2 linked regions of the Daphnia pulex genome follow. The protein of the gene in region 1 interacts with the protein of each later gene in a biochemical or structural test. Links are inferred from orthologs where the notes say so. Each region holds a gene or a part of one and is shown in the gene's direction. Other genes may lie near its edges.

Region 1 (7,716 bases):
GTCTTATCAGAAGCTCGTGATCAGTGCCTAAAAGCAGTTTCTGTTACCAAAATGATTCGAAGAGACTTGGAAGTAGCCGCCGAATTCGATATCAGTGTGCCACTCCCGGAACTCCTCCACCGACTCGCTATTACCGGCCACATACTTGTCGTTTTACCGCATAATGACAATTATGTGGTTTTCGTTCCAAGTATGTAGAATCTCGTGGGATCTTAAATTTCGCTTTTCCCAATTTTTTTTTTATTTTATTTTTTACGAATCAAAACTCTATGGTTCTTATTATTATTATTATTTCAGAAAGTCTCCGAAGTCATAGAGAGTACTTGCATTGTCTCCTGGATCTCTCCTCTCGTTCAGAACCACCTCCACCGTCCAACGACAGTAAAGAAGAATCACTTCCCAATTATTCCCAAAGCAGCGAAGATGATGCAGGTATGTGATAGTCTTGCAAAAATGACCATAAACAACCATTGATTCATTTGCTTTGTTAGAGAACGAGGGCTACATGATACTACTTCAAACGCAAACTGCCGATGGAGAAACTATCGAAACTTTATGGAAGGGTGAAACAGTTCGCATTCGTGTACGCTAGCTTAATTTCATGCTGCATAAGCGATTGAATATCTAAATTCTAGTTTATATTTTAGACGCTGCGAGACGATGCAATCCTCCGTTCTCATGTTCAGCGCGAAGTTTTGCTCTTAATTGTTTTCAACGCCATTCATCTATCAGCCAGGCGTCGTGAAGTACAAGAGTCTCTTGGTCCAGGTCTTGAATTACGCTACGAAAATAGGCCGTCCAACTATGTGGTTGCTGAATCTCTCCTTCAGCTCAAGGTACAGCGTTAGTAGAAAATTGATTTCATTAGTGTTTGTATAGTTAATGTTTTAATGTTTTATTTTTCTAGAATGAGGTGATCTGCTTAAGCCAAACCATCATTGAATCTATCGAAGAAGTGGTGAATAAGTGCAGTGTCCAACATCTAAACGTACATCTTCTAGACCCGCTGGAGCAGGCTCCACTGATAAGTCGTTGGAAAGAAGTGGTCCGCCATTGCTTCAAACTGGGCTTCGAATTTAACAAAGACGTACTACGTCTTGTTTCTGGCAAGCCTAACGTTGAGCTAGCCCTCAACGTAGTCAAACTAGCCAATCTGTGGATGAACTTTACCGTGAAGTACAGCGAACGCGGTCGTGGTCTCAGACCCAAATGGGCTACTCAGGTATATTGTAAATAATTGTCTTTGCATTAAAATAACCAAAACTCCTAACCTTTTACATATTTTGGAAAAGGGGTTAGAATTTCTCGTTACGGCCTGCGAGTCTGACATAACTTGTCATCTCCCCGACGAAGAATTTTGCAGAATGAAAGAGTCGATTAGTCAATGTGTTCATCACATCATCGGATCACTAGATCAAAGTTCTAAATTGCAAACTTCTTCTCCAGTCGTCCGCCGATTTTCAAAAAATTCTAGTATGTCATTTTTTTTTTAACCAAGGTAATCTCAATGCTAATAACCGACTTTTTTTCTCCTCCGTAGTGCCCGTCTTCCCGAGCAGTTTATCAGCAGAAACTCTTTCTCCTTTGAAAAGCCCGATGAGTTCAAGAAAGATGTCTCTACAGTGTTCCAATGACGAACGACTTTCGAATTCGCTGCCTACTCTACCTCGACGGGATTCTGGTAATCGATTTTTGAGTTACGGTAGAATCGTGAATATCAACCTGTAATCGAATTCATTATGTAGCCGGAGATGTTTTGCCGTGGAAGGACCGTGTCTGCCGCTCTGTGCTTTTAATTGAATCACAGCGCGATGCTTCATTGGAGGAGGCTACATTGATTGGTCGCGTAGCCCGTCAAACCAAAGAAGCGAAATGGCACATCCGGCTCAAAAGCGTCCAGTTTTCTTGGCAGCGTGGAGTCAAAATAGGTAAGAAAAGCTACTGATATTATAGTACCCATTGAAACACGTTTTGGCCTTTTTGGTACTGGTGCGTCTGTGTATTATAGTGTCAAAAATGGGTTTCCCAGTTGGGTTTATAAGTCGGAAGACCAGGAAGAATAGTCGTCTCACGTTGTCCACCTGGGCCAGCCGGTTGGCAGTTAATTGTAAAGCTTCTGTTTCTGCGTCAGATATATATATGTATATTTTTCCCCCAATCACTCCATCTCCTTTTTCTTCTTTGGCTTCTGGCTTTGTTGATTCGGTAACTTTGGACCGAAAGTAGGTCGTCCCTGGTTACCGGGTGGAGCCGGTACTTGTGGAGATCGAGGCTTAACTGTAGTTCCGCCCGGTTGTGCACTTAGCACAACCGCATTGAAAAAGGGTCGAATCATAATTCTAGACTTCATTAAAGAGTATTGAGGCCCCTGGTAATCGTACCAGTACATCCCCTTGTATTCAAATTCTTGAGGTACGGGGCCGTTCAGATATTGCCCGTTTAAGTTGCTGAAAAAACAAACAGGAGAATTAACAAACCAATATTTGTTTCATATAAGACGAAGAATACCTTGTATCGCATCCTCGATACCACCAACCTCCAGTGTGATCGCGAGCACAGTTTCCGTCTAACCATTGATCCTGATCGTTGTCTGCGGTAGAGAACTTCATGGATGTATGGTACGAGAGGGAATCACCCGCGTCACCCTCGTAGGTTCCCAGTAGGCGAATGTCGTAACCTTCAGCATCAGACCCGATAGCAAAAGCGGTGTAGTGGGCAGTGGCTTGATTCAGACCGAAATCTGTCAGTTCGATTAAAAGCTCGTAGACCTGAAAGAAAATCGCTAATGAAATGAACAGACTCCCCAAATTTGCAATTTAATCTCACTCCTTGATTCGTAATCATGTGGATTTTTTCGAGACCCAGCCAGAATTCGGTGGCCATATTGCCAAATCCTTGTTTGTAATCATTCCAACCCCGTAGAAAATTAATTGAACCATCAAAGCGATTTTGAATAACCTATTAGACAAGCAGATATTAAGAAATTATTATAACTGTTAATGATCAATAGCCATACCGTCCATCCTCCTCCGCGAGTTTCCATGTCACACTGAACAAAAAAGGGTGCAGATGAAGATAATGGTTGAATCCGTTGGATTCCCGACATAAGGTGGCGCCCACCTTTATTAAGCGCATCGTGACAATCACGTGGTAAACTTGGTCGTTCTGTGGAGAGGTTAATAAATGACCTTAATTATTAGTGTCTGGCAATAGTAAATCAGTTTAATATACCGGAAGGACAAGCGCCAGGTTGTATGAAATGTGAAAGAGTCCTGGCCGGTGTGGAATCTTGGCTCTTTAGTGCAGTAATTCCACGATGCAGATCTTGTTTTGTAGCGAAATCATCGCTCCGTTTTTCGACAATTCTAACAGAAATTCAATTGAATGTCAGTCGCTTCTGCTTCTTTTTTGTTCGCTATTCTAAAACAATTACTTGGTCAGGTTGGCCATAACACTGACGTTCTTGCTGATAAGTAACAGTTCATCCCGTAGGTTATTTGTTGTCGTTCTAAGACTGTTCATTCCAGCCAAGAGTACTTGAAGACGGGGAGCTGGAACGTCACTTTCCGTCACTGTTAGTTACATAGGGTTATTTAAACAAAATTTAATAATTCAAAGTAGCGATTTTTTTTTGTCTTTTTACTTCTTGCCGGTGCTTGGGCTCCACCAGATTGTGTTATGATGTGTTTGAGCTCAGCCTGACCGGTACGAATAGCAACTGACTCGTCTCGCACCACATCTAGTAGAGTTTCAATTCGTCCAACATCGCTTTCTAACTGTTGCAGCCGCCTCGAAGTGTCGGCGGCCAGGTTGCGCACCGAGTCTCCGCGTTCTTGCATTTGTACTTCCACACGCGTTAAACTAATTGAAGATAAAAAAAAACTGTTATTGGTTTTGATGGATCTTATTAGATGCAAAGGACTGACCGGTAGTCAATTCCCTCTAGTTTGCGCAGTGTCTGAATTTGTAGCGATTCCATCGATGACAGCCTCTCTGTGATTCGCTGAAGGTGAGCCATGAGACGACCGCTGGTCAAGGTTGGTCCGCTCTCATCCGAAGTCTGACAACCATTCAATACTCAGTTAGCTTGATTTTTAAGGGATAACACATTCTAACGAATATACCGACGGGGTTGTGGCTGCCGGTATTGTCACCGTAGGCCAAACCAATCCTGGTTCGTGTTCAACATCGTTGAGAATACCTCCCGCTAATGTTGGACTTGGGGGAGTAGTTGAAACTCCTACTACGTTAGCTGGAAAACAGTTGTAGCATTTTTATACAATTATGTTTGGGTTATTTGAAAAATGTTACGTGCTTATTCTGGAACTCACAAGCCGGCCGTGGGGCGATCAAGTTGAAAGGCCGCGGCCTCCGCATTTCACTTGTATCCGATTCTTGACCTATCGGGTCGTCAGCTCGACTCTCTTCAGAACTGGTCCCTGAATCTTCATGTTGAGCTTCGATCCCGATGAAGTGAACACTTAACAGATACAATACCAAAGCCAAGTGTATTGCTCCGCTGCTGGTGCGACGTGCCAGCGCAGCAGAGGAGCGACCCATCTTCGGGACGGCCGTATCCAAACTAATCGCCCCTTTTCCAGTTTCGAGTTTCTATCTGCTGGTTTCGGTGGCGAGTTTCCACGCCTCGAATGTTTTGACTTGTGCCTGTCTGGCGTGCTATTTCCAGTATTTTGTATATAAGACGGTCGGTGCCAGATCGAAGGTTGTCTAGCGCATGCACGCCGTCTAGCAACCAAGGACCCAACCAGCAACGCCGGATGTTTACGTTATTTATTTATACTCATTTTCAAAATGAGAATGGGCCTAAACAACAAACGGAGACGTTAGCTTGTAGGCGGCAGAGGGAACCGAAATTGAAAATGTCCATTTATCTATTTGCGTCACCCTGACAGTTGCTCTCCACTCCGTGGAAGAGAAGCTATATTTACCAACGCGTTAAGCTAGAGATCTCCTTCAAATTCAAGTTAGAAGAATTTCAATAGCTATATATTTTTTTTCTGATGGGTTTTCACAGGACAAGGACGTTTTGGCAAAGTTTACGTAGCTGTCAACAATAAAACTGGCGAATTGATGGCCATGAAAGAGATTGCATTACAGCCCAACGATCATCGGACCATTCGCAGTGTAGCGGATGAATTGCACATCTTTGAAGGCATCCATCACCCGCATCTCGTGCGTTACTACGGTTTGGAGATCCATCGAGAAGAAATGATCATATTTATGGAATTCTGTCCGGAAGGAACACTGGAGCATTTAGTTGCTTCAACTGAGACAGGTCTACCCGAAGAACTCATTCGACGTTTCACTCGACAACTTCTCGAAGCCGTCACTGTCTTACACGAAAATGGAATCGTGCATAGAGACATTAAGGGTATGTAATTGAGAACATTCGCCGTGATAAACTGGAACGTGAACTCTTATTTTATGTAAATTACTTGTTTCAGGTGCCAACATTTTTCTTACCGACGTTGGCAATTGTTTAAAATTAGGTGATTTTGGTTGTGCCGCTAAAATCAAATCGCAAACGACCATGTTTGGAGAACTGCAAGGTTTTGTTGGCACTCAAGGTAAAAGAATTTTCATTTTCATATCAACAACAAAAAAATAATAATTAAATTTTAATCCAAATTTATTAGCATTCATGGCTCCGGAGGTTTTTATGCATACGATGACTGAGGGCCACGGACGCGCGGCCGACATCTGGAGTGTGGGTTGTGTAGTGATAGAAATGGCAACAGGAAAAGTAATCGAAATCAGCGAGAGTGTTTGGAAAACTCATAAAATGTTTTTCCTTTTGCACATTATAGAGGCCTTGGTATGAACTCGAATCAAATTACGCTATTATGTTCAAAGTTGGGATGGGAGAAGTACCTCCTACGCCACTTACGCTCAGTGAAGAGGGCCAAGCGTTTCTATCTCATCTTCTTCAACATGATCCGAAACAAAGAGAAAGCGCAGCTAATCTGCTTGAACACAATTTTCTAAAAGTAAGTCATTTTTAGTCATTCATCGTCAGAATCATTTTTGACCTTTCTGGTGATCATTAGGTCTATCAGGAAGACGACCCTTTATACTCTGCAGTGATTCGTCATCCGGTTTCTAGTTTATCGAAACATTAGCCGTGCAACTGTTTAAAAAAGTTGTGATTTTGTAAACTACTTAGTTCCTTGTATTGTCTATTATACATACATTCCTCCTATTATTATACTTCTCGTATATAAAATAATATTCGTTTGATTGAACGATTTCCCCCGTTAAAATAGTAGCATTACGTATTTGATAGGATAATAATATAGGTAATATTACATAATGAATTTTAAAAATATATATTTCACATTTTTTCCCTTTTTAAAACTTATGAAATTGGATTTTTAATAAGCAAATCTCACATTCATATACCCTTAAATTGTTAATGTAAAAACCACCAAAGTCACTCGGACAAATCACTAAATCAGACATCCTTCGGCTTCGGGTAATTTGAAAGAAACAGTGATTCCTACCTGATGACAGCCAATCAAAGGTTTCGTTCCACTGAAAACGAGCAGTCGAATAGGTGAGCGAGGTGTCAGAAGAGAAATACCTCGTGTTGAACGCGGCATAGCATTATTCCTAAGTGCATCTGCCACTCCTGATGCCATCGTCCACGACGCCTAGGTCGCAAACGGCACCACGCAAGGTAAAGAAAACTTCCGGGTAACATACCTAAACTTCATTCGTGTTGCTTATAGCAACTCGATCTATTGAAGGTTGTTGACAAGCAGTGGCGCAGTGTTATTGTACGTGTTAGCTTTGTTTTTAAAAATTCGAAATTCAGGGACCAAGTGTGATGCTGTTTATAAGCACACACAGGTTAGGTATTTTAATTTAAACCTTAAGTCCTTAATGAAAAGGATATTTGTCGTTTATTGTTTTAATATCTGTTTTGATTTTTTTTTAATGAAAAAAAATCACAAAAAGCCCTTTGCTTGCTATTGGCTATTGCTAACGCAGATCAACAACCGCAAAAACCGCTAACAAGCTGACAGCCTGACAAAGTGACAATGTTATGGCTTGGACACTGAGGACATCTGGCGGCCAGATTTGTTTTCAATTCTGGGGCATAGACTAGCCCTTTAGCCCCTACCTTCTTCACACCCTTTTCCTATCAATGGAAAGTCCTGGCCACCAGGTGCCACTGCAGTTTAATAACAACAATGACTGCCATGGTTAGTGCACGGTTAGTTGCTGTTTTTCACGTTTCGATGCAGTATAAAGTGAACTATTAAACATTTCAAAAAGTTTGTTAAATAGCATAATGTAATGTGGTAAAGCAGATTAAGTGTGAAACCAACATTATAGGTATTCTGCGTAGTTGATTGAACAATTAGTATTTTTTATTTCCTTGACTTGCAATTCACACTCATCAATTCTTATGTCTGAATTTTTGAAACAGTGAGATCCTTGTGAAAGGAAAATAGCATGATCCAGGCTGTTCTTCAATTGCAAAGAAAGAGAATAATGATTGAAACAAATGCAAAATATCCAACTGGAATTCTCTTCATATTTGTGTATTCGTGGTGTAAGTTTTACTGTAAGTTGTACTATAAAGTTTATACTAATTCCTTTTACTTCTTCTTTTGATCATGATCAGAATTTTGGAAAACATTCTTTCCAGAGAATAACACCTTAAAATAAATAACTGTGGTTATGATAATG
Region 2 (7,816 bases), on another chromosome or scaffold:
AGACATCCAGGGCCGAGTGTTCGGTAAAAATGAATTTAATTACCGATTTTAAAAAGCTCTTTTTCAAAATTGTTACAAAACATTTTATCATCCGTCATCTTATTTTTACTTTTCATTCAAATTGAATGGTTCAATGGGCCGGGGGGCAGGGCTGGGCAACATTTCCATTCGTTTGTTGAAAAATGGGACGGAATTAATTTTAATGATATTAAGATTTGTTGTTTTCGAGTGAGTTACTAATCGCAAGTCTCCGACGAAACAGTCTCTTCCCTCTGTGCCGCCTTATCACAACACGGAGCGCGGAATTGGCACGGTACAACAACCACAACAACACAAACACACACAAAACAAATGAACCCAAAACCATTTCATTTTTGTTTATTTTAAATTCAAACCAACCGAAATTCCTTGGAATTTAATTTTTTTCAGTTTTTCAACCTCCAATCGACCGAGTTCGTTCGTTTTAAAAATTTTATTTAGTTCCTTCCGCATCGCCGTCGTCTGTATATATCTACTCCCGTCAAAACACACACACAATTTTTATTTTAAAAATTTTATTTCAACCGAGAAACATCCCGTTTAGCTTGATTGGTGTCGTCTGTGTCTTAAAAAAAGATTTGATACAAAAATCTTGTTCAGTTTCATCCATTTTTATTTTTATGGGTTTCATTATTTCCATCCATTTCCTTCCTGTTTGTTTGTTTCTTTTAAAATCCGTTTCTTGTTAAAACTTTTCAATATTTTATTCCATGTTCTCTTTTGTTTTCTTCTTTCCTCCATGGACAAAACCATCCAGGATTTGACTTCGACTTGGAAAAAGTGGAATGTCGTTCAGTCTGGACCCGGTGGGCGGATATCCGGCTCCGTTTGCGGCCAGGATCCAAAGTAATATATTTTGTTTTAATTGATTATTTGAATAAAATTAATAAATTTTTGTTTGTTTTTTTTCCTCCCTTTAGTTTTTGTATAGAACCAGCGTCAGTGGCGCCGTTCGAATGGCCGGACGACATCACCAAATGGCCGAAATGCCGCAAAAAACTGCCCGGTTTAGGGGGATCCGGGTCGGAATCAAAGTCGAATGCCAATCAGGTGTTGAAGACGACCGGACAGGCCGATCACATGGTCTGCGAAGTCATCGGACACCCGTGCTGCATTGGTAAAACTGAATTAAAATACCAACCAATTTGAATTTAAAATTCCAATTTTCCGTCCGTCCAATCCCGTCAGGTATTCACGGCGAATGCCGGATCGCCACTCGCGAGTATTGCGACTTTGTCAAAGGCTATTTCCATCAGGAAGCCTCCCTATGCTCTCAGGTAAGATCCGTTTGGTTTTAATTGCCAGCTGGACGTTTTTTAAATTAATTCAAATAAAAATTGAATTTGACAGGTGTCTTGCATGAACGACGTTTGCGGTATGCTGCCTTTCCACACGCCCGACTTTGCCGACCAATTTTACAGACTGTGGACGTCGCTGTTCCTGCACGCCGGCATCCTTCACCTGGCCGTCTCGGTCACCTTCCAGATGATTATCATGCGCGACCTGGAGAAGTTGGCCGGACCCCTGCGCATCGGCATCATCTACCTGGGCTCCGGTGTCGTTGGCAACCTCGCCTCGGCCTTGTTTGTGCCATACAGAGCCGAGGTCCGTCCCCATCTTGCCCGTTCATTTTTGAATGAAATGAATGAATTCAAAATTTACACATTTACCATTTTTTGGGGGGATTATTAGGTGGGTCCGTCCGGTTCGCATTTTGGTTTACTCGCCTGCCTCTGCGTCGAAGTGCTGCACGCCTGGCCGCTACTTCGGACGCCCTGGCGGGCACTCGGCCGGCTCCTCATGACGGTCGCCTTCCTCTTCGTCGCCGGACTTTTGCCCTGGGTCGACAATTTCGCTCACATTTTCGGGTAAATTTCCATTTTGGAATTCAAAATTTAAACAAATTTCATTGAATTTTTGGTGCCGGGCACAGGTTCATTTCGGGCGGACTGCTCTCGTACACTTTCCTGCCGTTCATCACGGTGGGCGTGTACGACCGCCGGCGCAAGTTGGTGCTGATTGGCGTCACGCTGACGCTGGCCGCCATCCTGCTCACCACACTCGTCCTACTCCTCTACGTGTGGCCCATCCAGGATTCCGGCGTCATCCAAACGCTCGGCTACCTCAACTGCGTGCCCATCACGCGCGATTTCTGCGCCGAGCAGAACATCCACTTTAGCAAGCGGGAAGTCAACATCCTCTGAGGAAACCCCCCTTCCCCCCACTCCTCACTCTCTACCCATTCCCCTCCTCCTCCTCCAAAACGGACAAAAAATGTTAAATTTTTTTTTAAATTAATTTTCAAATTCACACGCAAGAAATTTTTGTTGAACGGCCACCGGAAATAGAAAAAATTTGGACGGACATGCCCGTCTCCATCTCGTGTTGCTGTTATACTTTTTAGTGTACGAAAAGAAAAATTCACTGGACACACCTCACACACATGGATACAATGTCACATGGACACACACAGCGCATAATTCTCTTAAATGAAATTGAATTGCAAAAGAAAAAGAAAATGTTCATCGTAGGTCTCTCTCTTTCTCACTTGATTTGTTGATTTGTTAATTTCTCAACGTACGTGACGGTTATAATTAGAACCCCCCTTCATTCCCGAAAATGTTTGTCAATTTCATTTGATTTCTCCCCCCTCCAACTTTGTGCGAGTGCTCGGTGTGTTTCTAATTCTTCTGTCTTGTTGATTGTTTCCCTAAATTTTTTATTTGGAACATTTTCATTCGGAATTTCATTTTTTAGGTCCCCCCTATAAAAACATTTCGGCGCAGGATTTGAAAAATAAAATTTTGAATTCCCTTTGTCCGTGAAATGAACCTGTCGATTCCCCGTTCTCGCCATTTCAGTTGACACTGCAGGAAATTTAAAAAAAGGTGAAGAGAAGAAAAACTCAAAAAAGTGATGAAATTTTTTCTTTCGTTTGAAATTGAATTAATTATGCAGCCCCCCCCCCTCTGGAGTCGATTTGTCAACCGTCTCAAACCAGTAGCTCTCTAATATCTTTTTTTTCGAATTTTTATTGACCCCGGAAAACAATTTTTCTAAGAAAAAAGCAAAAAGAAATGAAAACTAAAATTTGATTTCAATTTTCGTTTCATTATTTTTTTCAATTTTTCTCGTGTGGGTGTACATGTCTGTGTTTCTGTTCAATCCCCCCTTGTAATATCCCCCCCCCCCCCCCCAGCCGTTAAAGATGACTTCATTTCATCCCTTCGCTGATTGTATACAAACACGTTACATTCGTCTTTAAAACAAAAAGAAAGAAAAATCCCTCCTTCCCCTGGTTATCTCTCTCTCAAAAAAAGAACAAACTTGTTTCTTCTGCTCTATCTCTCTCTAGCTCTTAATTCATTTCTCTCTCTATATCTCTCTCTCTCTCCTCTTTATTTCTGTGTGTGCTGAACAACTATTGTCTTGATTTGATCGTTATTCTACAATGAACATTTTGATTTCCCGTTTCAAAGCGAAACGGGAAAGACAAAGAAGAAAAACCCCCAAAAAAAATGATTTTTTTGTCCGTGTGCTGGTGTATACGTTATATACAAAACAAAACCAAAAAAAACAAACAATTATAAGAGATAACTTGAACAAGAACCATTTACGACACCCAATCTATTCGACAGGTTGATTTTCACCAACGTTGAAAAAAAAAATTTTTTCATCCGGCCGGAATTCTTCCGGAATTTTTTTTTCATCCACCCGGAACTCTTCCGGATTTTTTTTTTTTAGATTTTTTTTATTTGAAAAAAAAATCTCGCACGATCAATAATATTACAGCCGGAAGAGTATTAGAGTTTCCAATGTTTGACTGCGGGCGTTGCCTAGCGCTGGACTCTGTGGCGGCAAAAGTAAAGAGCGCCAAATGTAGCGTGATTCGAATAATTGTTATTAGTATTTTTCGGTAAACTTTCCCGCGGGATAAACTTCTTGGATCGAAAAACCCAACGGTAACAACTGAATCGAGTCGATGAATATCGTCGGGATGACGGCTTGATTATTAGATAAGATCCGCCCGTCGGCTGACGTACACGACCTACACTTTATTGGATGAATCCTTATTTATTTTTTTGAAAAGAAACAAAATGTCTGACTCGTGCGTCCTGTTTCGCAAGGTGTACATTCGAGTCACGCATAGTTCAATCTCATGGGCGTCACAGTTTCATTTATTTATCTCAAGTAAGACTTTACGTCATTATTTATTTATCTATTTACGCAACCGCATCGAGTTCGAAATACAATTTTTTTTTTCTTTTTTAAAAGTTAAAAAAATATTCCAACCACAAAAAATGAAGAAAAATAAAATACTAAAATTACTTTAACCTCCCCCAAGGACTTGTCTGCCTTCCAGGGTAAAAACTAAAAAGCGTCTGACAGTTCCAATATTTTTAATGGCTGGTGTATATCACGTGCTCTTTAGTTCCTATCATGAAATAAGATAACAAAAGAATTCCCGAGCTGAAGGATAATTAGATCAACCTCCTCACATTCTCTACTGTGTTTTTTTTAGAGAAATCAAATAGACGAGTAGTAACGTACCTGCGCGCGCATAAATCAAAGAGTGGTTGCCGTAACCGATTCGTTGGAAAGAAATCGATTACTTGACTATCGATAATCTCTGGCCCCACTGACACAAAGTTTTTCCCAACTTCACCATTTCACGAGAGATGGGAAGATCGGCTTAACGTAAATTTTTGTTTCCTTTTTTATCGGTCGTGTGGGCGACACTCGATGGACACACGAGTGGCATTTCTATTTGCTGCACGCCCGTCATCAAAAGGAGAAATCAAACCGAGCTAGTTTTTAGTATTTTTTCGAATGAATGACGTCTTTTGCCGCAGCCCTCTCTCGAGCAATCGCCGCGTAACAAAAAGTTTTTAGGGCTCCCCTTTGGTGTGTGTGTGTGTGGTGCATGTGTGTGTGTGTGTGTTTGTTTGATTTTTCACACGCACTTACCTCACTCACGAAGCCCGAGTTTTTTTTCTTTCCTATTTCGTGTGTGTTGTTTGTGTGTGTGTGTGTATCACCCAGTTTAATCCTGCCGTCAAAGGCAGAGAGTGCAACCGAGTGCAAATCAGGCGCCAACATGTCGACAGAAGAGCAGCAAGGTATTCATTTGCATTTGTGAAATTATTAATTAGCTGTTTTTTTCTCGTGTAAGTGGGGGGTGTGTTGAGGTCCTTTTTTTTGTGGGTTTCTTACGATGATGGATTGGTTTTCTCATTCACAGCGGAGGACAAACGAAGCAGGCTGAGGCCCCTCTCATTCTCTGGATTGCCAACCAAATGTCTTTCGCCCAGCAGTGCAATCGCTCCCATTCACTCTTTTCCAATGTAAGTCTTTGCTCAGTGACAGCATCTCCCCGATTTGTGAAATCTTTACGTTTGTTTGCAGGGAAAAGTGGAAAATAACTGATGTCAACAATTCCCCAGGAAAGCTGCAGATATCCCCTGAATTGGTACGAGATGATGCTCATACTTTAGAGTGACAGCGTAGGTGTTAACAATCACTGTTTTTTCCCATTGTCATAGGTGTATGATTTCACAGCTGAAGACCTGGAAGACATGGGTGAAATTGGTAGAGGAAACTTTGGTAGTGTCAATAAAATGCTCCATATCAAAACAAATACCGTCATGGCTGTCAAGGTACAAATTGAAATTGGTTGCATGGCTCTTGTACTCAACAGCCAACTTTATGTGTTTCCTCTGCAGAGAATCCGTTCCACTGTCGATGAAAAAGAACAGAAACAATTACTGATGGACCTTGAAGTTGTTATGAGAAGCAATAACTGCCCATTTATTGTACTATTTTATGGAGCCCTTTTTACTGAGGTATAAAACATTTAAAAGGTTTTTTTTCTTTCTTTACAAAAAAATAGTTTAACACTTTTGGGGAATGTTTTACAGGGAGACTGTTGGATCTGCATGGAACTAATGGATATTTCTCTGGACAAGTTCTACCGTTTTACCCACCAGCGACTCAAGGAAAAGATTCCTGAATCCATCCTCGGGAAAATGGCCCTTGCAGTAAGCCTCCAATTCAACCTATTTGTTGTGCGATTGATTTATGCATGATGTTTGCTTTTGTCCTTGTGTGCCCAGACTGTCCAGGCCCTAAACTACTTGAAGGAGAACTTGGAGATTATTCATCGTGATGTCAAACCTTCCAACATTCTAATGGACAGGCGCGGAAGCATCAAATTGTGTGACTTTGGCATTTCGGGACAGCTGGTGGACTCGATTGCCAAGACCAGAGATGCTGGCTGCCGACCCTACATGGCTGTAATGAAGCAATTTATATTTATAAACCAACTAGTCCAGCCACCTTATAACTAATTTCCGATCGTTCTCTCTCGTGTTACACACACAGCCCGAAAGGATCGATCCCCAATCTTCCGCTCGAGGCTACGATATACGCAGTGACGTCTGGTCACTGGGTATCACCTTGATCGAAATAGCCACCGGCAAGTTCCCCTATCCTCACTGGAACTCTGTGTTTGATCAGCTGACGCAGGTATCACATTTTGATCTTTCTCCCCTCTTTGGACGTGCTTCTCATTCCCGACTCGTTCTCGTATTACATCATCGTCAAAAATAAAAGGTGGTGCACGGAGATCCGCCCAGATTGATATCCAGCTACAGCAAGAGCCCCACCAATAATGCGGGCTCCAAGAATGGAAACTTGATTCAAGAATGTCCATTTTCCGACGAGTTTGTCAATCTTGTCAACACTTGGTGAGTTATTCCCCTATTTTTATGGCTAGTAGAAAGAATTTATAACAAAATCGTTTTTTTTCCAGCATGCAGAAAGAAGCCCGACAGCGACCAAAGTACTCGAAGCTTCTGCAACATCCGTTCTTGTTGGCCAGCCAGGCCGAGCAAGTCGACGTGAGCGCCTACGTCGACAACATCCTACAGCGCATCAAGACCCTCGGTTTGACGGTCGCCGACTTGCAAATGGATTAAGTTTACAACTACTTTTTTTTTTCCTAAGTTTTGAATTTAAAAAAAAAAATCCATTTCTTGTTCCATGCAAGGTTTTCCGGCTTCCATCCAAAGATTTTTTTTCCTCCTCCTAATTTTCCTCTCCCTTTTTCCCCCATCTTTTATTGGGGAAAAAGAATTATGATGCAAAACATAAACAACTAAAAAACAACAACAACATTTCGTTTATAGGAATTTTTTTAATTTGATTCGTTGGCAAATGTTTGATATCGACGGGGCAACACACACTTGATTGGATTAAATTTCCCCCCTCCCCTTGTCGGCTCTGCCAGCCTCAATCTAAACTGACGAGTGTAATTTGACAACTGTAATGCATACATCGTATGTACATAATTACATAGTGATGTTGTCCTTCAATCTTTTTTGATTCCTTCCCAAAATGACCTTTTTATTTTTTCGCCCAGGCCATCAAATAAATTGAACTCGAGAGGCAGCACTCAACTTTTCGGCCGGACGAGAGAATATTGAACGTTGGAGAAGAACGGATCGATATTAAGGAAAACTACTCTCGACTCTTTTAACCGTGAACGTATGCCCCGCCGTGGATTGGGACGGGGCGAAAAGTTTCTCGATCCGGTCGTCCACGTTATTCCACTGTATAGAATTCTTGCTGGTAATCCCTGGGCGAGTGCCGACCCAAGACTGTCGGAGGAATGTCAATGCGGACATCGATCGTCTCTCTTCACCCTCCTCCTCCGGCAGACACGAGCAATGTGTCGTGTTTTCTACCATTTGTGAAAAGAGCAGCTCAAACCGGTTTT

Evidence for each region.
Region 2: the proteins of mitogen-activated protein kinase kinase kinase 4-like (region 1) and dual specificity mitogen-activated protein kinase kinase 4-like form a complex in vitro, tested with the Homo sapiens proteins (2 studies listed by BioGRID, with this or other methods). The link is inferred for Daphnia pulex from reciprocal best matches to the Homo sapiens genes MAP3K4 and MAP2K4.

Annotation. Positions count from the first base shown.
Region 1 is NC_060017.1:6,266,094-6,273,809, reverse strand, and holds the end of mitogen-activated protein kinase kinase kinase 4-like, read left to right. Parts: coding exon 1-190; intron 191-297; coding exon 298-432; intron 433-491; coding exon 492-583; intron 584-647; coding exon 648-836; intron 837-907; coding exon 908-1,222; intron 1,223-1,292; coding exon 1,293-1,473; intron 1,474-1,540; coding exon 1,541-1,681; intron 1,682-1,745; coding exon 1,746-1,928; intron 1,929-1,977; exon of another isoform or gene 1,978-2,158; coding exon of another isoform or gene 2,159-2,447; intron 2,448-2,508; coding exon of another isoform or gene 2,509-2,768; intron 2,769-2,826; coding exon of another isoform or gene 2,827-2,958; intron 2,959-3,016; coding exon of another isoform or gene 3,017-3,165; intron 3,166-3,231; coding exon of another isoform or gene 3,232-3,365; intron 3,366-3,433; coding exon of another isoform or gene 3,434-3,572; intron 3,573-3,643; coding exon of another isoform or gene 3,644-3,861; intron 3,862-3,926; coding exon of another isoform or gene 3,927-4,060; intron 4,061-4,124; coding exon of another isoform or gene 4,125-4,252; intron 4,253-4,331; coding exon of another isoform or gene 4,332-4,560; exon of another isoform or gene 4,561-4,666; intron 4,667-5,035; coding exon 5,036-5,392; intron 5,393-5,465; and 9 more. Other genes in the region: fibrinogen C domain-containing protein 1-like, read right to left, coding at 2,159-2,447, 2,509-2,768, 2,827-2,958, 3,017-3,165, 3,232-3,365, 3,434-3,572, 3,644-3,861, 3,927-4,060 and 2 more. UniProt on the Homo sapiens protein: Component of a protein kinase signal transduction cascade. Activates the CSBP2, P38 and JNK MAPK pathways, but not the ERK pathway. Specifically phosphorylates and activates MAP2K4 and MAP2K6.
Region 2 is NC_060023.1:2,019,490-2,027,305, reverse strand, and holds dual specificity mitogen-activated protein kinase kinase 4-like, read left to right. Parts: upstream 1-2,850; 5' UTR 2,851-4,963; coding exon 4,964-5,159; intron 5,160-5,281; coding exon 5,282-5,384; intron 5,385-5,445; coding exon 5,446-5,509; intron 5,510-5,582; coding exon 5,583-5,696; intron 5,697-5,762; coding exon 5,763-5,882; intron 5,883-5,957; coding exon 5,958-6,077; intron 6,078-6,152; coding exon 6,153-6,332; intron 6,333-6,420; coding exon 6,421-6,564; intron 6,565-6,651; coding exon 6,652-6,785; intron 6,786-6,850; coding exon 6,851-7,016; 3' UTR 7,017-7,412; downstream 7,413-7,816. Other genes in the region: uncharacterized protein LOC124197299, read left to right, coding at 1-23, 263-313, 797-885, 960-1,156, 1,228-1,316, 1,390-1,644, 1,732-1,907, 1,973-2,243. UniProt on the Homo sapiens protein: Dual specificity protein kinase which acts as an essential component of the MAP kinase signal transduction pathway. Essential component of the stress-activated protein kinase/c-Jun N-terminal kinase (SAP/JNK) signaling pathway.